4 linked regions of the Rattus norvegicus genome follow. Each later gene encodes a partner of the first gene's protein in a complex. Links are inferred from orthologs where the notes say so. Each region holds a gene or a part of one and is shown on either strand. Other genes may lie near its edges. The genes, in order: Nedd4, Grb10, Arrdc3 and Gja1.

What was found.
Region 2: the proteins of Nedd4 (region 1) and Grb10 are in contact, whole or in part, in a crystal structure (PDB 3M7F), measured with the Mus musculus proteins. The link is inferred for Rattus norvegicus from reciprocal best matches to the Homo sapiens genes NEDD4 and GRB10. Residues at the interface, in NP_035020.2 of Mus musculus: Glu71, Leu72, Val79, Arg104, Ser112, Ile114, Leu115, Thr116, Ser117, Val118, Gln119, Glu134, Ile135, Leu136, Phe137, Arg138, Leu242, Pro243, His244, Pro245, Pro246; in NP_001357532.1 of Mus musculus: Ile514, Arg516, Gln518, His519, Phe521, His522, Gly523, Arg524, Asp548, Gln579, Phe581, Gly587, Asn588, Thr589, Lys590, Phe591, Ser592, Ile595, Gln596, Asp599, Phe600, Leu603, Asn604, Ile617, Arg618, Val619, Ala620.
Region 3: the proteins of Nedd4 (region 1) and Arrdc3 are in contact, whole or in part, in a crystal structure (PDB 4N7H), measured with the Homo sapiens proteins. The link is inferred for Rattus norvegicus from reciprocal best matches to the Homo sapiens genes NEDD4 and ARRDC3. Residues at the interface, in NP_001271267.1 of Homo sapiens: Glu847, Arg849, Ala851, Pro852, Phe857, Ile859, Asp860, His861, Lys864, Thr865, Thr866, Thr867, Trp868; in NP_065852.1 of Homo sapiens: Glu344, Ala345, Pro346, Pro347, Ser348, Tyr349, Val352.
Region 4: the proteins of Nedd4 (region 1) and Gja1 are in contact, whole or in part, in an NMR structure (PDB 2N8T), measured with the Rattus norvegicus proteins. Residues at the interface, in NP_037118.1 of Rattus norvegicus: Asp416, Asp417, Tyr422, Val424, Asp425, His426, Ser428, Lys429, Thr430, Thr431, Thr432, Trp433; in NP_036699.1 of Rattus norvegicus: Pro277, Leu278, Ser279, Pro280, Met281, Ser282, Pro283, Pro284, Gly285, Tyr286.

What each region holds. Positions count from the first base shown.
Region 1 is NC_086026.1:82,271,235-82,274,794, forward strand, and holds part of Nedd4 (E3 ubiquitin-protein ligase NEDD4), read left to right. Parts: intron 1-239; coding exon of another isoform or gene 240-240; coding exon 241-405; intron 406-1,437; coding exon 1,438-1,511; intron 1,512-3,560. UniProt on the Homo sapiens protein: E3 ubiquitin-protein ligase which accepts ubiquitin from an E2 ubiquitin-conjugating enzyme in the form of a thioester and then directly transfers the ubiquitin to targeted substrates. Specifically ubiquitinates 'Lys-63' in target proteins.
Region 2 is NC_086032.1:90,813,554-90,817,755, forward strand, and holds the start of Grb10 (growth factor receptor-bound protein 10), read right to left. Parts: upstream 2,835-4,202; 5' UTR 2,629-2,834; intron 1-2,628.
Region 3 is NC_086020.1:12,872,042-12,876,029, reverse strand, and holds the start of Arrdc3 (arrestin domain-containing protein 3), read right to left. Parts: upstream 2,829-3,988; 5' UTR 2,593-2,828; coding exon 2,313-2,592; exon of another isoform or gene 1,348-2,312; intron 1,137-1,347; exon of another isoform or gene 1,000-1,136; intron 112-999; exon of another isoform or gene 1-111. UniProt on the Homo sapiens protein: Adapter protein that plays a role in regulating cell-surface expression of adrenergic receptors and probably also other G protein-coupled receptors.
Region 4 is NC_086038.1:36,301,332-36,305,388, forward strand, and holds the start of Gja1 (gap junction alpha-1 protein), read left to right. Parts: upstream 1-1,232; 5' UTR 1,233-1,415; intron 1,416-2,425; exon of another isoform or gene 2,426-3,243; intron 3,244-4,057. UniProt on the Homo sapiens protein: Gap junction protein that acts as a regulator of bladder capacity. A gap junction consists of a cluster of closely packed pairs of transmembrane channels, the connexons, through which materials of low MW diffuse from one cell to a neighboring cell.

The sequences.
Region 1 (3,560 bases):
TAGTTAAGAGAGAGTGTATCACTCCAGTCCACAGCTTGGAAACATTGCCTTCATTTCCTTTTTACACATGCACAGATAGACTCACATCCAACTTTTTACTTGCTGAGCCATTGAGAATAAGTTACAGAGTTTGTGCCATTTTCCCCTGAATATTTTGTTATGTATCACTTTAGAAAGTGTAATATTTTTATTAATTTGTTGAGAATTTCATAATAATGTATTTTTTTTTAATTTTTACGGGTATGGGAGTTCTGTCTGGATAAGAATGAAGAGGGTGGTGGATCCCCCGGAAGTGATGTCACAGATACTTGTGAGCCACCATGTGGATGCTGGGAGTTAAATCCGAGTTCCCTGGAAGAGGAGCACGTGCTTTTCACTGCCGATCCATATCTCGAGCTTCACAATGTACGTTTTTAAAATTTTTATTTATGTGTATGGATGTTTTGTTTGTATGTGTGTCTGTATATGGTGTGTGTTCCTAGTGTCCATAGAGACCAGAAGAGGGCTTCTTCAGCCAGAACTTGGAACTGGACATATAGTTGGTTGTGAGTGACCATGTAGGTGCTGGGAATTGAATCCAGGTCCTCTGGAAGAACAGCTGATGCTTTTTACTACTGAGCCATTTCTTAGCCCCACGATTGATTGACTGATTGATTGATTGATTGATTTCTTTTGAGGCAAGGTCTCATTATATAGCCCCAACTAGCCTGAAACTTAACTCTGTAAACCAAGCTGGTCTTAAATTATTGTCATGTTGACGCCAAGGGATTAGAGTGGTTCATCACCTCACCTAGCCATACACAATGTAATTTGACCATTCTCGCCCCTCCAACTCCTCACCCAGCTCCCCTTAGATGAGACGTCTCTTTTAAGACAAGGAAGTTCTCCCATAGGACCTCATTCCACTGTGACCTGCTAGGTCATTGCTATTTGACATATCATAGTGCGCTCACTGTTATTTATAAACTCTTTAATGAGACTTAAAATTGCCTTTTCTTAGTAGTTATTACATGATTATGATGAGCTTCTGATTTTATGTTGTGAACGTGGTAACAATGGAGACTTCCTTAGTTACCATTGTCATTAGTTTTTTTTTTTTTTTTGGTTCTTTTTTTTTTGGAGCTGGGGACCGAACCCAGGGCCTTGCGCTTCCTAGGCAAGCGCTCTACCACTGAGCTAAATCCCCAGCCCCCTTTAAATTTTTCTTATAAATTTTAAGGCTAAATTCTTATTGTGTGTAATAACTTGACTCTAGTTCTTTGCTTTTTGTGTGTGTGATCAAATGTATCTAAAAATGATAAATTTTGTTTTTATCTTCTTTTATATACCTTTTAATCAGATTACTTATTTTTAAATATTCTCCAAATTTAGTATTCTGGTTATCATTGTATTAGATAACTTGTAATTACTTAAGTAAAACCACCCTTTGCATTTTAGGATGACACGCGAGTTGTGAGAGTGAAGGTTATAGCTGGCATAGGTCTGGCCAAGAAAGACATCTTGGGAGCCAGGTAAGTATGATATGTGGGTTTGGAGTTTAAAGAAATAATATTTCTTTCTTGGACTTTGATTAAATGAAAATCTGAATGATAATAACAAATTTTGGTGTACAGTGAGGACCTTACAGGTTAGGTGGTTGATTATTTTCTTGGTATCTGTAATAGTGATCAGTGATAGTTATAGATTTTTTTATTTTAAGTCTCTAAATCCTTTAGCAGATAATAACCACCATAATCTCTGGGTGCAATAGAAAAAGTACCTCTGAGCATCAAATGAGCAGAGCGGGAGTACTGGGGCGAGCCACATGAGAGCGAAGCAGTGGTGTGGAGTGGTTCCCTTATGGGAATTAGTCTGAAGCCAGGGAGAATTACAACCTGGAACGGGAGAGGTAGTCCCACAGCCTGAAACCCTGGAGCAGGTTGGACTCTCGTGGTGGAGAAATGAGAAGAACAGATTGGAAGGAAGCATGGCAGTGGTAAGGAAAAGATTTGTACCCTCAGCTGGTGTCAGACGATCTGAGCGGAGAGCTATTGGCCCAATAGAGTTTGTGACCCTTGTCCAAACAAGGTAGATAAACATGGAAAAATAACAGAACCTAGATTCTCTGTAACTAACTCAGCTTACAATGTCCGGGACACAACATGTAGTCACCTGGTCTGTGGAGAGACAGGGAAGTGGAGCACAGTAAATGTCAGTCAATAAAGAGTCTGTGAGCAGAGTGTGCTGGGAGGCAGAGGCGGGAAGACCTCTGAATTCAAGGATTGTCTGAGTCCAGGGCTGCCAGGCCTACATAGCGAGACAGTGTCTTCAGGAAACAAAAACTGGGCCAAAGGGAAGAGTATATGCTCATGGTCAGTCAAAACCTTGGAAGTTTCAGGAATGAAGTAGAGACAGACAGACAGACAGACAGACAAACAGGGAAATTCTACAACTAAAATATATTTGAAATTAAAGTACTTTGGTTGATTATGATAACTGAATGGATACATAGAGCAAAGATGAACTGAATATAGATTAATGGGAATCATTTACCAATTAGAAGATGATAAAGAAGAAAGGTCTGGGGGTTGGGGATTTAGCTCAGTGGTAGAGCGCTTGCTAGGCCCTGGGTTCAGTCCTCAGTTCCGAAAAAAAGAACAAAAAAAGAAAAAAAAAAAAGAAGAAAGGTCTGTTTTAACTACGTTCCAGAAAGACCAGAGAGCTAAATAATGAAATAAAATATTTTTAAAGAGTAAGTGTCTAAATCTGGAAACAATAAATGAAATATACAACTGGACTGGAGTGTTGGCTCGGCATTCCGGAATTGCTCTTACTGAGGATTCCCAGGGACCCGCCTGTGACCAACTCCAGGGGATCTGGCGCCCTCATGTGGCCTCCACAGGCACTGCACTCACAAGTACACATACAAATCTTTTAAAGAAGAAATGTTAAAGCAGGTTAAAGTTCCTGGTGAAGAGAGGAAAAGCATCAGAAGCAATAAATACCTGGAATCTTCAGACACTTTTAAATTAAAAGTTTTATTTTTGTGTGAGGGTGTTTTGTCTTCATGTATATGTGTGTATGCCTGATATTCATAGAGGTGAGAAGAAGGTATTGAGTCCCCTGGAACTGAAGTTACAGATGTCTGTGATCTGCCATGTTTGTGCTGGGAATCAGACTTAGGTCCCTTGCAAGAGCAGTAAGTGCTCTTAACCTTATACAGAATCCATTGGACTCGGGACTCCCAACCTTCTCTTAGGGATTTATATAGATGAAAAAAATACCCATGGGAATTACAGCACAAAGGACGGACGTGTCTGCTGTGACCCTGTGTGGGAGAACGGTGCCATAGAAAGCAAAGGCAAAGTGAATCACTAAAAAGTAGGAGACATGGGGCTGGGGATTTAGCTCAGTGGTAGAGCGCTTACCTAGGAAGCGCAAGGCCCTGGGTTTGGTCCCCAGCTCCGGAAAAAAAAAAAAAAAAAAAAAAGAACCAAAAAAAAAAAAGTAGGAGACATAAATAAGCCATCTGTCAGCGGTGAGGCAAAGAACACTAGGTTTTATAAGAGCAGACATTTGCA
Region 2 (4,202 bases), on another chromosome or scaffold:
CCCTCCTATTAAGTGCCAACACTGAAATGTCCGGCGGGGAGCACTGAGTCTCCACGGATGGACAACTGCCCCCAGCGCACAGTTGCAAATAGACACGACGGTCCTGTAGTTTCTTACACGTGGAACAAACTTTCAAGCAAATAGGTTCTCTAAATCACACCATCTATAAAATACCAGTTTAAAAAGAAAGATAGGCCAAGCAAAAATCTGTACAGCTCTAAAATGAGCTAAGGGCACATGGATGGCTTGGTTCAACCAAAGTTTGGCTTCGAAACACTGTAAAGCCTGTGACCCAGCGGGTTCAGCCACATCCTAAATTTTGAGCTGGATCTTTGGTTCTGATTTTGTCCTTCTTGCCCAGTGGAGGCTAACTGGACAGACACAGCTGCTCTGGCTTCCAACCATAGCAGTAACCACCACCCAAAGTCCTAGACAATTAGCCACCAAAAAATCTGCCCTGCTTTCTGGTTCCCTAGTCCGCCTACAAAATCCACTTTGACCAACCCAACACTGGTTCAAAAGCAACATAGGCCAAGTAGTGTGTAATAAGTGATTTAGGTGCCACGAAGCGTTTTAACTTTAATCATAATGAACAAAAATATCATATCAAACTCATGGCTTGATGAATATTGAAGTTTCTTCTCAAAGTAAATGAGTATGTAAGTTAAAAAAAAAGAAGAAAAAGAAAAAAGAAAAAAGAAAAACCTCAGTGATAATTGCTTGGTCTACGTGGCATTAATCTGGAAGGCTGGAAGCAACTGGTCTAAGAAACCAGGCCCCGTCCTCCATTTGCTCTGCTGTGTGTTGAGCAGGGTGTCCCTCCTCTACACCATTTCTTCTAGAAGTGGACATGCTTTTGCAGACGGTAAAAAGCTCAGGAGGTCTCCCCAGAGCTTTGTCCTTTGTTAGCTGGTGCGGCCTGAGGCATACCAGTTAACCTCCTGAGCCTTGGTTTCCAGACCTGTAAAATGGGGACCGTGGGGGCCACGAAGCGCATAAAAAGCAACAGGGCTTTTGAAAGCGCCTTGTAAACTGCGAAATGCTACCTCAGTATCAGTGGCTACACTTCTCAGTTACTGCAACGCCTGCTGGGCTGCAACTCCGTCTGTCCTCAAATTCCCTCCCTGTAATGTGGGGACTGGCCTCTTTCAAATGTTCCCAGTAAAACTCAAAAAAAAAAAAAAAAGTATGTTCAGTAATCCTAAAGTTTTGATTTTTTTTAAAGACAAAAATTTGGTAGGCGAGACTCATTCCTGGGAGCACATTTGATCGCAGCACTCTTGGTGAAATAGTTCTAAGACGCCTCATCCATCGCCTTACACAATTCCCTCAGCTGCAGAAATCCAGAACTCGAGGTCCACTTCTGTAAAATAGGAACCTCACTAAAGTGTAAGCCTTAGTCTGTTCTCGAGGGGGTGAGGTGGGGGGGGCGATGTTAACGACTGGAGTTCTGGTAAAGGAGAGCGAAACGTTAAACTGAGCACCATTTCTGAAACTCAGGGGCTCCAAATGGCTGAATCAGCAATTTCTGAAACAAAGTCTTCTGGGCCTGGCCTTTTAAACAGCCGCAAAGGGAAAGTTGTGCAATAACACATATTTACTCACTAATGCTACTTGTTTTGGACTTTTTCTTTGCATCTCTTGAATGAAACAGTTACAAGAAAAGAGTTTTTTCAAAAACATCCCAAAGACCCGGGGCCTTGTAAAAATCACCTGTGGCGCTCCTACTTTTTTGGTTAAAGCAAATGAAAAGAAGTTCGCGGGGTTTCTTCCAATGCCAAGAGAAGGCAAATACAATTTTTTTAAAAAGTGAATACCCTAATTTCCATAACGCACATGCCGCAGGCCCTCGCCAGGCAGGCGTTTGGAGAGGCAATCAGCAAAGGCGGAGAGTTGCATCAGAAATTTCCTTCTGCAAACGGTACCGCTCTTATCACGTTTCCACCGCTGGCGGGCTGCTTTTTCGCGAGCCCTCAAACTTGGTGTTAGGCCCCAGCGACGGGTAGCGGGGCCACTAACAGACCCGAAGAAAGAAAGGGGTGGGGGTTGGGGCACGAGGGGGGGGGGTAGGGACAGATCCTCGGACCGCGGCCCGGGCCGCGCTCGCTTGGGACTTGGGAGTGTCTGGCACCGCTGCCCGGCCCGCCTGGCGCGCGCGCCGAGGCCGGGGGCGCAGCGGGAGTACCCGCCGCTCCGGTGATCCCCGGGCGCCCACCCTCCAGGGCGGTGGCCCCCGAAAGCGCGGCCTTGACCGCGGCCCCCGCCCGAGCCCCCCGAGCCGTCGCCGTCGGACAAGACGGCTCAAGAATGTCCCTCTCGGGGCCCCGAGCCTCCCCCCGGGGGCCAGAGCGCAGTGGAGAGCGTCGCGGGGCGCCGCAGCCGCGCGCCCGCCGTCCCGTCCCGCCATCCCGCGCCGTCCCGCCGCGGGCCGGGGGCGCCGCAGCCCCTCAGTCCCTTAGCCCCCCGAGGCGACGCCCTTCCGCCCGCCGCGCCTCGCGGGGCCCCGCGTCCCGTTCGCGGGCGGCCCCGAGCGCAGACAATGACGGCGCGGGGAGCCGCCCGGCCGCCGGGCCCCGCGAGGCGCGGACCACAAAAGTAACTTGCCGCCGCTCCCCGCCCAACTCCTACCTGGCGTGCAGCTCCTCGTCGCCTCCGCGTGGCCGCTGGCCACACGTTGCACGAGTCCCTGCGAAAAAGCCGAAGGCAAAGACGGACACTGGACGGTCCCAGTCGCCGTGCGTGAGACGGTGCGCGGAAACTTCGTGCTCCCGTGGGTCTCGGAACGCGAATCCCGCCCGCCACTGGTCGCAGCGCCCTTCTCTTCCTGCCGCCTCCCCGCACCCCACCCCCTCGATGGGCTTTAAACTCTCCGGGCCCCGCCCGCCCTCCCCGCCTCCGCCACCGCCTCCGCCTCCTCCTCCCCCGGCCGCTTTTCCTGCTCCTCCTCCCGCCGCCGCCCGGACCGCTCGGCGGCCGCCAGCGCGGGAGGAGCCGCGGCCTGGGCGCAGGGCGTGGCGCGGGGGGCGCGGGCTCAGCGGCCGCGGGGTTGGCGTGGCACGATGCTCTCCCGCCCAGGCCGGCGCGCGCCCACCATGCTCGCAGCTTGCGGGACCCCCGGCGCCACGCCACCGCCCCGGTGCGCGGCCGCGCCGGCGAAGACCGACCGGACCTGTCCCGAAGGGCCATTCGGAAGGGAATTGTTCGAAACTCAGAAAGTACTCCCCAACCGCACAGTTCAAATTCTTCCTGGGCTGCGGCCGCCCGACACCGTCGTGGGCAGCCCCGGGCCCGGACAAGGAAACTCGGGCTTGCTCACGGCGGGTCGGTCCGAGCCTCACCTTTCTCAGCCTCAGTTTCGCCAGCTGCGTGTGAGTAGCCGAAGGAGGGAAGCCTGAGAGGCCCTTCATTGTTTCTTGAGGCAGCCTAGCAAGCCTCGTGTCCTTTACCTCTGAAGTGGGGCCCTCCTGAAAGTAAAGCCCAGACGGGCCGTGCCCGGTTTCTAAAGTGACCCACGAAAAGGCAACAGGGCTTATGTGATCGGCCCCTTCGAAATAATTCTTAATGTCTATATTGTGTCGCTTTTCTAGCACAGATAGGATACCAATAATTACACCTTTTTCTTGAGTTTCGGCTTGGTAAAAGCAGCCCCAACCGTAAATCACCGTAGTCGAGAAGACACGTGGTGTGAAACATTCGTGAGTTCTCCTACTTCTCCCTCACTCAAACTTCTGAGGTTGTTTCTAGAGCAACTGTAGAGAAGTAGAGAGACTGAGTCTCTTAAGAAGTAACTTCTAGAAGGTTGAGAAGCTGGGAGGGAGCTCAGGGCAAGGATTTGAAAGCTGTGCTGTGCACGTATTGTCCCGACGCGCTTTTTGAGAGCACTGCTCTGGTACCTCTTGCTTCTAACCGTGGTTTTTCCGACCTCAGATTGATGTAATCAATGAAAAGTTTTCCCTTTCTTATAACTGAACACTCACTCCTGTTTCTGGCCGTTGGTCCAGACTCAGAAACCCACAAGGTGAAAATCCAGAGGAAAGGATGTGAAATAAGTCTTCGATTCCCCGGGAAAGGAACACAAGAAGTCTTTTGTAGACAAAGGACTCAAAAGCGAACCAAAGCAGAGAAAACTGGGCTAACTTTTCCCAAGTTGATTTGCTTCAAACCTTTTAGTTTTCCTGCAAAGTCTCACCAGCGATCCATAC
Region 3 (3,988 bases), on another chromosome or scaffold:
CCGGCCTAAACCGGCGCTGAGCAGATCCCAGCCGGCCCGCCCGCGCGCGGCCGCGCTCCGCGCGCCCCGCTATACATACGGCATACGTCGCGCGGCGCTCGCGCCCGAGCAGCCTAGAATGCTGGGCCGGAGGCGGAGCCACAGCAAGCCGAGCTTCCGCTTTCCACGCCCCAGCCGGTGACCGGTTCAATCTGGCTCAGGCCACCCTGACACCTTCGCTGTTACAGCGAGGGGGAACTGGGGCGGCGGCGCGGAGGCGGAGGCCCCGGGGAACAATGGGCGAGGCCCAGTTGGTGCCGGTGATGTCTCCCCTATCTGTCCTGTGTCATGTCCCCTCGGGTCACACAGGTACCAGCCCCGGGGGTACCCTGGCGCCCGCACCTCGATCAGCCTTTGGTGGGATTTTTAACCGAGCTTGAGCCCAGGGCAATGAAACCTGCGGCGGCTGCAGTGGGCGAGGGGCCTGGGACACCCGGAGAGGGGCGCGCCGAGGGGCGGAGGCGGCTGGCCGGGAGAGACCTTTACCGGCGCACGCCGGTTCCAAGCCTCGCCCCAGCCGGCGCGAGCCGGCTCGACTTCCCCCTCGCCCCCCCCCCCCCGTGCCCAGTCCAATCAACGCCTGGCATCGCCTTAGCAACAGGCTAACAAACGCAGCTCCGCCTATCGCTGGGCGCCCGGGGCGGGCGCTCAGCTACCAGGCTAGTTTGAGCGAGCTGCCAGTTTGAAGTCATTGAAACTATTCCAGCCTTAAGAGCCCGTCCACGCGTAGCCAGGCTTGCTGGGGCACCTCGCAGGGCGCAGGTAGTTATCTTAACTGTGAGATCGTGGTGCAACGGATCAAGTGTGTGTCCACAGAACTCGTTCTTTCCCCCCTACTACAAGTCTTAACTCTTCGAGGAAAAAGCCTTTGTCTCTTCTTATGTTTTTAAAGGGTGCGACGTCAAAGCAGGTTCAAAAGCAAATTCATGGATCTGCCCTTTTTAAAAAACAAATACGAGCGCTGTCATTAGGTACTGTATGGCCCATTCGTGTGGACGCTGCGGAAGGTGAACTAGGGAACCATTTCAGCATGTAGAACACCTCGGTGTAGCTGCGTAAACCCCAAGACTTGGCTTCACCTTTATATTTAAAAGACGGTACATTAATTCTGTGTAACTTAAAGCATCCTCCATTTCTCACTTGCGTTAAGTTCAATTAACGTCTCCCTAGGATGTATATTTTAGATACTTAAAAAAAAAAGCATGCCTCTATCTGAAAAATCGCCAGTATTTGCACTAAAATACTGCATTAGAAAGAAGAAACACAAATTACATAACCAGTTTTAACATTATATTCTTCTTGGACTAGGAATTAAGTCATCGCCACCACCTGACGCGTGTAACCAATCTGCTGAGAGCAGAACAAGCGCCCCTCCTCACCATCCCCCAGAACTGGTCCGAAACAGGATTGAACCGCTTCTAACAAAGGGTGGAAACTTAGAAAAACAAGCTTGGAGTCGCCTATATTTCCACATTGTAGCCACTTAAACAACAGATCGCAAATCTTAGGACCTCTTGTCCCTTTGACAATGCCTTAATCTTCATCTTGTACCCAAAAACCAAATCCGATGTGCCATATACTTTTCAATTCCATCTGTCTGCCATGGGTTTCATTGAATCCACGTTCCAAAGTTAGACATGATGCTCCGAGAAGAAAAGTACTGACCCGGAATGGCTTCTAAACTGACTTAATAGTTTGCATAATGATAGATATTATCCTTTAAAATAAATGGTGCTTGATGTACATTTTAAAAGGAATTGGGAGAAATGGGAAAACACGTGGGGGTGTTGATGCCATATGTCAAAATAAGCCAGGGAAACCCTTTATCAAAGAACAATAATCAAGTCTTTAAAGTCGTTTGCACGTTAATATCAAAAGCAGATACATCTAGCAACCTTCTTAAAATGTCACTACAGTTCTTTATTGGTGCTCCTTCCTGTATCTAAGATTGTAAAATAAAAGGAGAAATCCAACATTGGACTGCAGTCTTTGCAAATGAATTTGAAAATATCAGTAAAACGACGGAGTCACATTTGAACACGTTATAAGGTGCGTATGGCAGATATGAAGCCGGTTACAGATGAAGTTAAGTGCAGTTTGCACTCACTTTGCAGACGCCTGCATGGATTACAGCTTAACACGCTTGGACGTCAAGGAGAAACTACATCTTCTAAGTTTGCTACCTTCATCAAACTGCCGACTAGAACTGCATTAAAGGAGATTAAAGTTCTCATGCACAGAAGTAGAATGTAGTGACTAATATAAAAACTTACCTCTTTCGTGCCCAATTAAGATGTCTTTATGGTTGAAATATTCTACTTCTTCAGTGTAATTCTGTGTATAGGCAGTATTGGAGCCGGCGTTTCTTGATTCAGTCCAGCGTACTTTCGCATGTCCTCTTGCATGAATTTTAAGAGATTTTACTCTGATTTCCCCAGTAACTTCTAAATTTACCCTTCCTGAGACAGTGTCCCCGCTAGAATACACGGGGACATTACTGTCATTAAGACAGTCAAAGCTTATTGTCAAACTCTTTACCTTTCCCAGCACCATGATTATAACAAAATCTATAAAAATATAATAAGACCAAAAAAAGTCAAGATCGCATATAAGATGTGATCTTCACTTAACACTGATCGGTGTCTTTGCCGTGCAAAAGAAAAAAAAATCTTGCAGGCAGGATCAGTGATTGTCTACAAATAGTTCATTGAGATTTCTTAAAAAGTCAGGGCAGCAGAGAAGCCGCTGCTCCACGCTCCTGCTCGTCTCAGTGGTCTCCTTACAAAGACGGGCGGCTGGAGGCTGCCAGCTCACTTTAAGAGCAGCTTTGTGAAAAACAACCCCAGTGCGCAGGCGCAGGCCGCGACTGCAGCCAGCCTCCCTGCGCGTTCCCTCCCGCGAGGCGCGCGCCTCCCTCTCGTCGCGCGCTCCCGGTACAGTAGGTGTGGAGCCGGCGTCCCTGACTTCGGTGCATGGGCCGCAGCGATTGGCCGGCGGGCACTCCGCGCGGCTGCAGCGCCGGCCCCGCACGCGCTCCGCGAGCTAGGTAGAGGGGCCCGGCGGCGCCAGGCCAGGGTGTGCGCCCGTACCGCGGACCCGCAGGACGTGCGAGCCGTGGGGGAAGGGGAGAAACCGGTTGGGCAAGCCGCTGGTGGCCCCAGTCTAAGCTAATGAATTTCAAAAGAAAATGTAATAAAAAGCAGACAAATATTGTTCATACTAGAAAGCATTGTTGACTTGGATAGAAACAACAAAAGCAAGCAGGACTTTGTAGACAGGGTGGCAATGGACTAAGCCAAGGCCTTAGGAGCCAAAGAACAATGCTCCAGGCAGCTCTTGTCTTCAGCTGCCTTCCCAGACTCCTACAGCTTCAAACTCGACCAAGTTGTCTGTGTAGTGTGTAGGCCCGACCACTTCCTCGACGGGAGAAAAAGTCCTTTTTCAAGACACCACCTACTGCTCCATTGCAGAGAATGACGCGATTACAACTTCTGTATCCTCAGGAATAAGAATAGAGCTCACACCCCTAATTACCACCTCATAAGAGACAGTTTGAACATAGTCATTTAGCTGACACTGTTTACAACAGACTGAAAAGTCTTAGCTAGAAAAGCATATACGGTGGTTTTTGGTTTTTAAGTATGATTTGTTACATAAATGAGGCTTAATTTTTAAGCCTTACTTTTACTTCAACATGCTAATTGCCGTGCTACATCTTTAAATACAGGCACATTTCTCCTTTTTTCAATGCCTTGAGTAAAAAAATGCAGTTCTAAACATCACCAGGATTTAGAGGGTAATGGCATAGACTAAGATCATTAACAGTCAACATAACCTCATAACATGGCTATATTATGAAATCCTGTTTTATGCATAGCCAAAATCGGACGAGGTTGTCTATAGTTAAACATCAGATCCTTTTTGCATGGTAAATCCGGATAGGGCGAAT
Region 4 (4,057 bases), on another chromosome or scaffold:
GAGTGAGATGCTCAACCCAGTCAGGTGATGCCTGAACAAAGGCCGAGAGATTTCCCTGCCTAACCCCGGGAACACCGCTGAAGCCTGTTTATTGCCCTGCCATAAGCCCTCTTGGAGGACATCTGGGAGCCCTCAAAGGAGCTGCCCACCCTTAGGAATGAGGTTATATGACTCAGTCCTTCATAAACCCCGTCAGGTATGATGAGAAAGCCATGAAGTTGTAGGCAGGCGGTCACCAGGCAGACGTCTCTCCCCTGGATGGGCTTCCTAGGGACATGATCGAAAGAGAGGAGGAAGTTTTCAGACTGGCTTTATGCTAACATAATGTATCTGGAAACTCTAGTCTGCAGTTAGGAGGAGGAGGAGGAGGAGGAGGAGGAGGAGGAGGAGGAGGAGGAGGAGGAGGAGGAGGAGGAGGGAGGGAGGGGAGGGGGAGAATTTTGGCATCTTCCTGCCGATTTAAATGCTAAATTGTAGTCATGAATAGGACTGAGATAGGACGTTCACTTCCTCGGAGACTGGGTAGAGGTCAGTATCAACGTTTCAGTCCAAAGTTACCTACATGATATTTTTCATAATACATAACATCTACCTTCCTGTTCTTAATCGAAGGAATACACAAAACTATCTAAAGCAGCAGAGAAACCGACGAGTAGACATACCCCTCCACTGGGGCTGGTTGTGAAATGCCTTTCCCATGCCCACCGCCTTTTTTCCTTTGTTAATTGTCCGTGTTTAAGAGGAGGAGAATTAGGTCATAAGAAAGATCACGCACACCCACCTCAAGCTTCACACACCTTGGGGAACGCAGAACAAGTCTGCACGAGTTGACCTTGTCCCCCCCGCCCCCCATTTTTATTTATTGCATTTTTTTTTCATTTAGAAAATGTAACACGAAAGGTACGTCTTCTCCCTCCCCCTGGTCATCCCCTGAAACAAGCCCTACTACACCCAACAGTATTTTATCTGTGAGGAGTCACAGCCCTGCAGTGGCCGACGGACAGCTAGAGCTGTTTTCTCATATTTTTTTCCCTTCTCGTCAGCACATTCAAACTACAACTTTATCTTGACCAGGTTGCTTCTGCCTGCTCAGCCCCACGTTCGTCAGCCTCCTCCCCACCTTCTCCCCGCCTTTTCTTCCTCCCTCCCCTTTCTCCTGGCCCCTCCTTCCAGTTGAGTCAGTGGCTTGAAACTTTTAAAAGCTCTGCGCTCCAAGTTAGAAAAACGCTTTTACGAGGTATCAGCACTTTTCTTTCATTGGGGGAAAGGCGTGAGGAAAGTACCAAACAGCAGCAGACTTTTAAACTTTAAACAGACAGGTCTGAGAGCCTGAACTCTCATTTTTCCTTTGACTTCAGCCTCCAAGGAGTTCCACCAACTTTGGCGCGCCGGCTTCACTTTCATTAAGTGAAAGAGTAAGTTTTGATAAAAAACCCGCTTTTACCTAATAGCGTCTCTTTCTGTCAGGAAAACTCTTGCACTGTGCTTTGTAAACGCGTTGCGTCTTTGGCTTAGGATATCGTAAGTAGAACGATGGTCTTCCAAGTGTCTTTGCCATTTCCACGTGCTGGTTTATATTTTGATTGTTTAAAAAGTTCCGCTGCTCGTGCAACAGGTAAAAGGCTCAAACTTTTTCCAGCTAGAGTGAAGGACCAACTTCCTAGACTTGGTTCTTTGTTGTGGAGCCTAATTTTCACTTTTCTGTAGTCCCTGATGGAGAAGGTGCTGCGGTGGGAGGGAAGGGGGGGTCCCCTCCGTCAACTTTGCCTAGCCTGCTTCCTCTAGTGCAGGACACTGCAGGCTTTTTCCTTTTTCCTCCTGAAAATCCCGTCGGCTGTTCTACAGCCTTGAGAAAGCTGGCTCCTTTTGTAACAGTGCTTTGTTGAGCCCCTGCCGCAGCAGTTGACTTCCACGTGGTTCTTCCTTAGCCTTTTTTCTGGATTAAGCCAGAAAATACGTAGATCGGGGTGCTGCGGGTAGGGTTTTTAGACCAACAGTAGTTACTTTGTGCGAGCCAGCGCGGTGCTACGGGACGAACCCCTCAGCCCACACAGCCAGCTTTTTTTTTTTTTTTCCCCTCCACGCTGGCAACTGCGGGCGCGAGAAATCTTGAATGGGTGGTGGTGACTTGGGGAGCGTTAGAGGAACCGGCGTTAGAAACAGTGTGTGCCAGGGTGCTTTTCCAAAACCAACTGCTAAAACCCAAGCTCCTAGAAGGAATGGGGAAAAGGGAATTTTGGAGCCGCGCTTTAGAAGGGGCTGCCCCCTCCCCACCCCCACCCCCCTTCGCCTGCCTGCCCGGACCTGTAGGGACTTCAGAGCTGTTGGGACAGTTTTGAATTAGCTTCTAGAGGGTGCAAAGCACTAAGCAAAAATGATGTTAACGTGCAGTTTAAAGGGGATCCGTCTTAAAGCTGTTATTTTTTTTCTTTATTTTTAAATTGGTAACACATTCTGTAAAGCACTTTGCCCAGTCTTCATTCTGTCCGGCCTAAATCCACACCGAAACGACTCAGGGTGGGTCTGTAGTTTTGTTTGGTTGGTTTTTTTTTTTTTTCCCGTGTACCAGACGGGCCGAGTCCTTTTGAAGTGAAAACTTTAGGGCAGAGGGTGGCACGGGCCCTTCCTGCCCAATCTTAGCATCATCCCGGGCTCGGCTCCCCGCAGCCTTCCGGCTTCGCGGTCCAGACCGCTGCCTGCGACGGAGGGGGGTTGGGGGGGAGGGGAGGCGAGCCTCGCGGCCGGACCGTCAGAGGCAGCAAGTGGTCGACTTTATTAAAGTTGTCAATCTGAAGTCTCTTCCCCTGCCCTCCGAGACGCCTTTTCGTGGTTTCTCTGCCTAAACTTGTCGGGTGGCTGAGTGGAGCCCCCGGGAAGGTCCCCTGAACACCTAGGGAGCCCGGGTGCTGGTAAATGCACTTGTAACACTCCTGGAAACTCTTGAAATTCCCCAAGAATGAGGCGGGGCGGAAGAAGGAGGGGCAAAGAAGACCCTTCGAGAAACCGTGCGACAGCTACTGACGTGTGCTGAGGCAAATCCGTTCAGGATTGGAAAATTCAAACCTTGACTTCCGAGCAGAGTTCTCCCCGTTAGTGCCCTCGGGTCCACCCAATGCTCACTGGGCATCTCTGGCAGAGCCTTGGCCGAGCACTCGGCGGCCCGCGCCCGGAGGTGAGCTTCCCTTTCCCTCCCACTACTGGGTTTTGAGGAGAGGAGAAGAGCCTACAGGGCCGACTTTGGAGGTGGGTTTGATTTCCTTTGTTCCCCAAGCACAATAGTAGTGACTGGAAGGTAGTGAATCTTACCAGTCCAAAAAGACCTCTGGGCAGCAACCTTGAATGGTCAGTAGCTTCCCATGAGGAAGCCTGAGGTTAATTTTTTCTTTTTTATTTTCATGAGGATTGATGAAAATAAAAGTGTGTTAAAGTAAACGAGGGCATAGACTGCGGGGGTGGGGTCGTACTAGTTAATTCTGCTGGGTAGGCCAAGTTGTGTGGAAATGAGCGCATTTACAGGCTGTACTTTCTGTCCTGGAGAGGTGTTGAACTCTGGATTACTGGAATGCACTCCCCGGTGTGTGAAAGCTTTGTGCATCTAGATTCGGGTACAGTGGGCTACCTGTCCCTTGCTGGGGTTCCAGGTGGTAGTGCTTTGGTACTCCACTGTCTAAACACACACCACATAGATGTTCTTCAACGTTGTCCCATCATCCTTTGAGGTTGGGATTCTTATTATTGCTGACCTTCCACGGGGAAATGTGGTTCTAAAGCCAGCAGCAAGAGGGGAAGGCTGCGTTTCCTTCCGCGAAGGGAGCAGAACTTGGTTGCTTAGCCGTCTTCAATTCCTGCAGAGAGAAGGGATAGCAGATACTCTGCTTTGCTTTATCACCGTATTGCAGAGGTGCAGTTCATGTGAATTGTAGAAATTTGTATGCCCCGAGGGAAGGGAACTATAGGAAAGTCACCCACTGATTAATACCTCGAACTCCACCTATCCTGATCTTCTACCTTCCCTTCATGATTCTGTTTGACTTCTGATGTGTCGAGGCTTATCCAG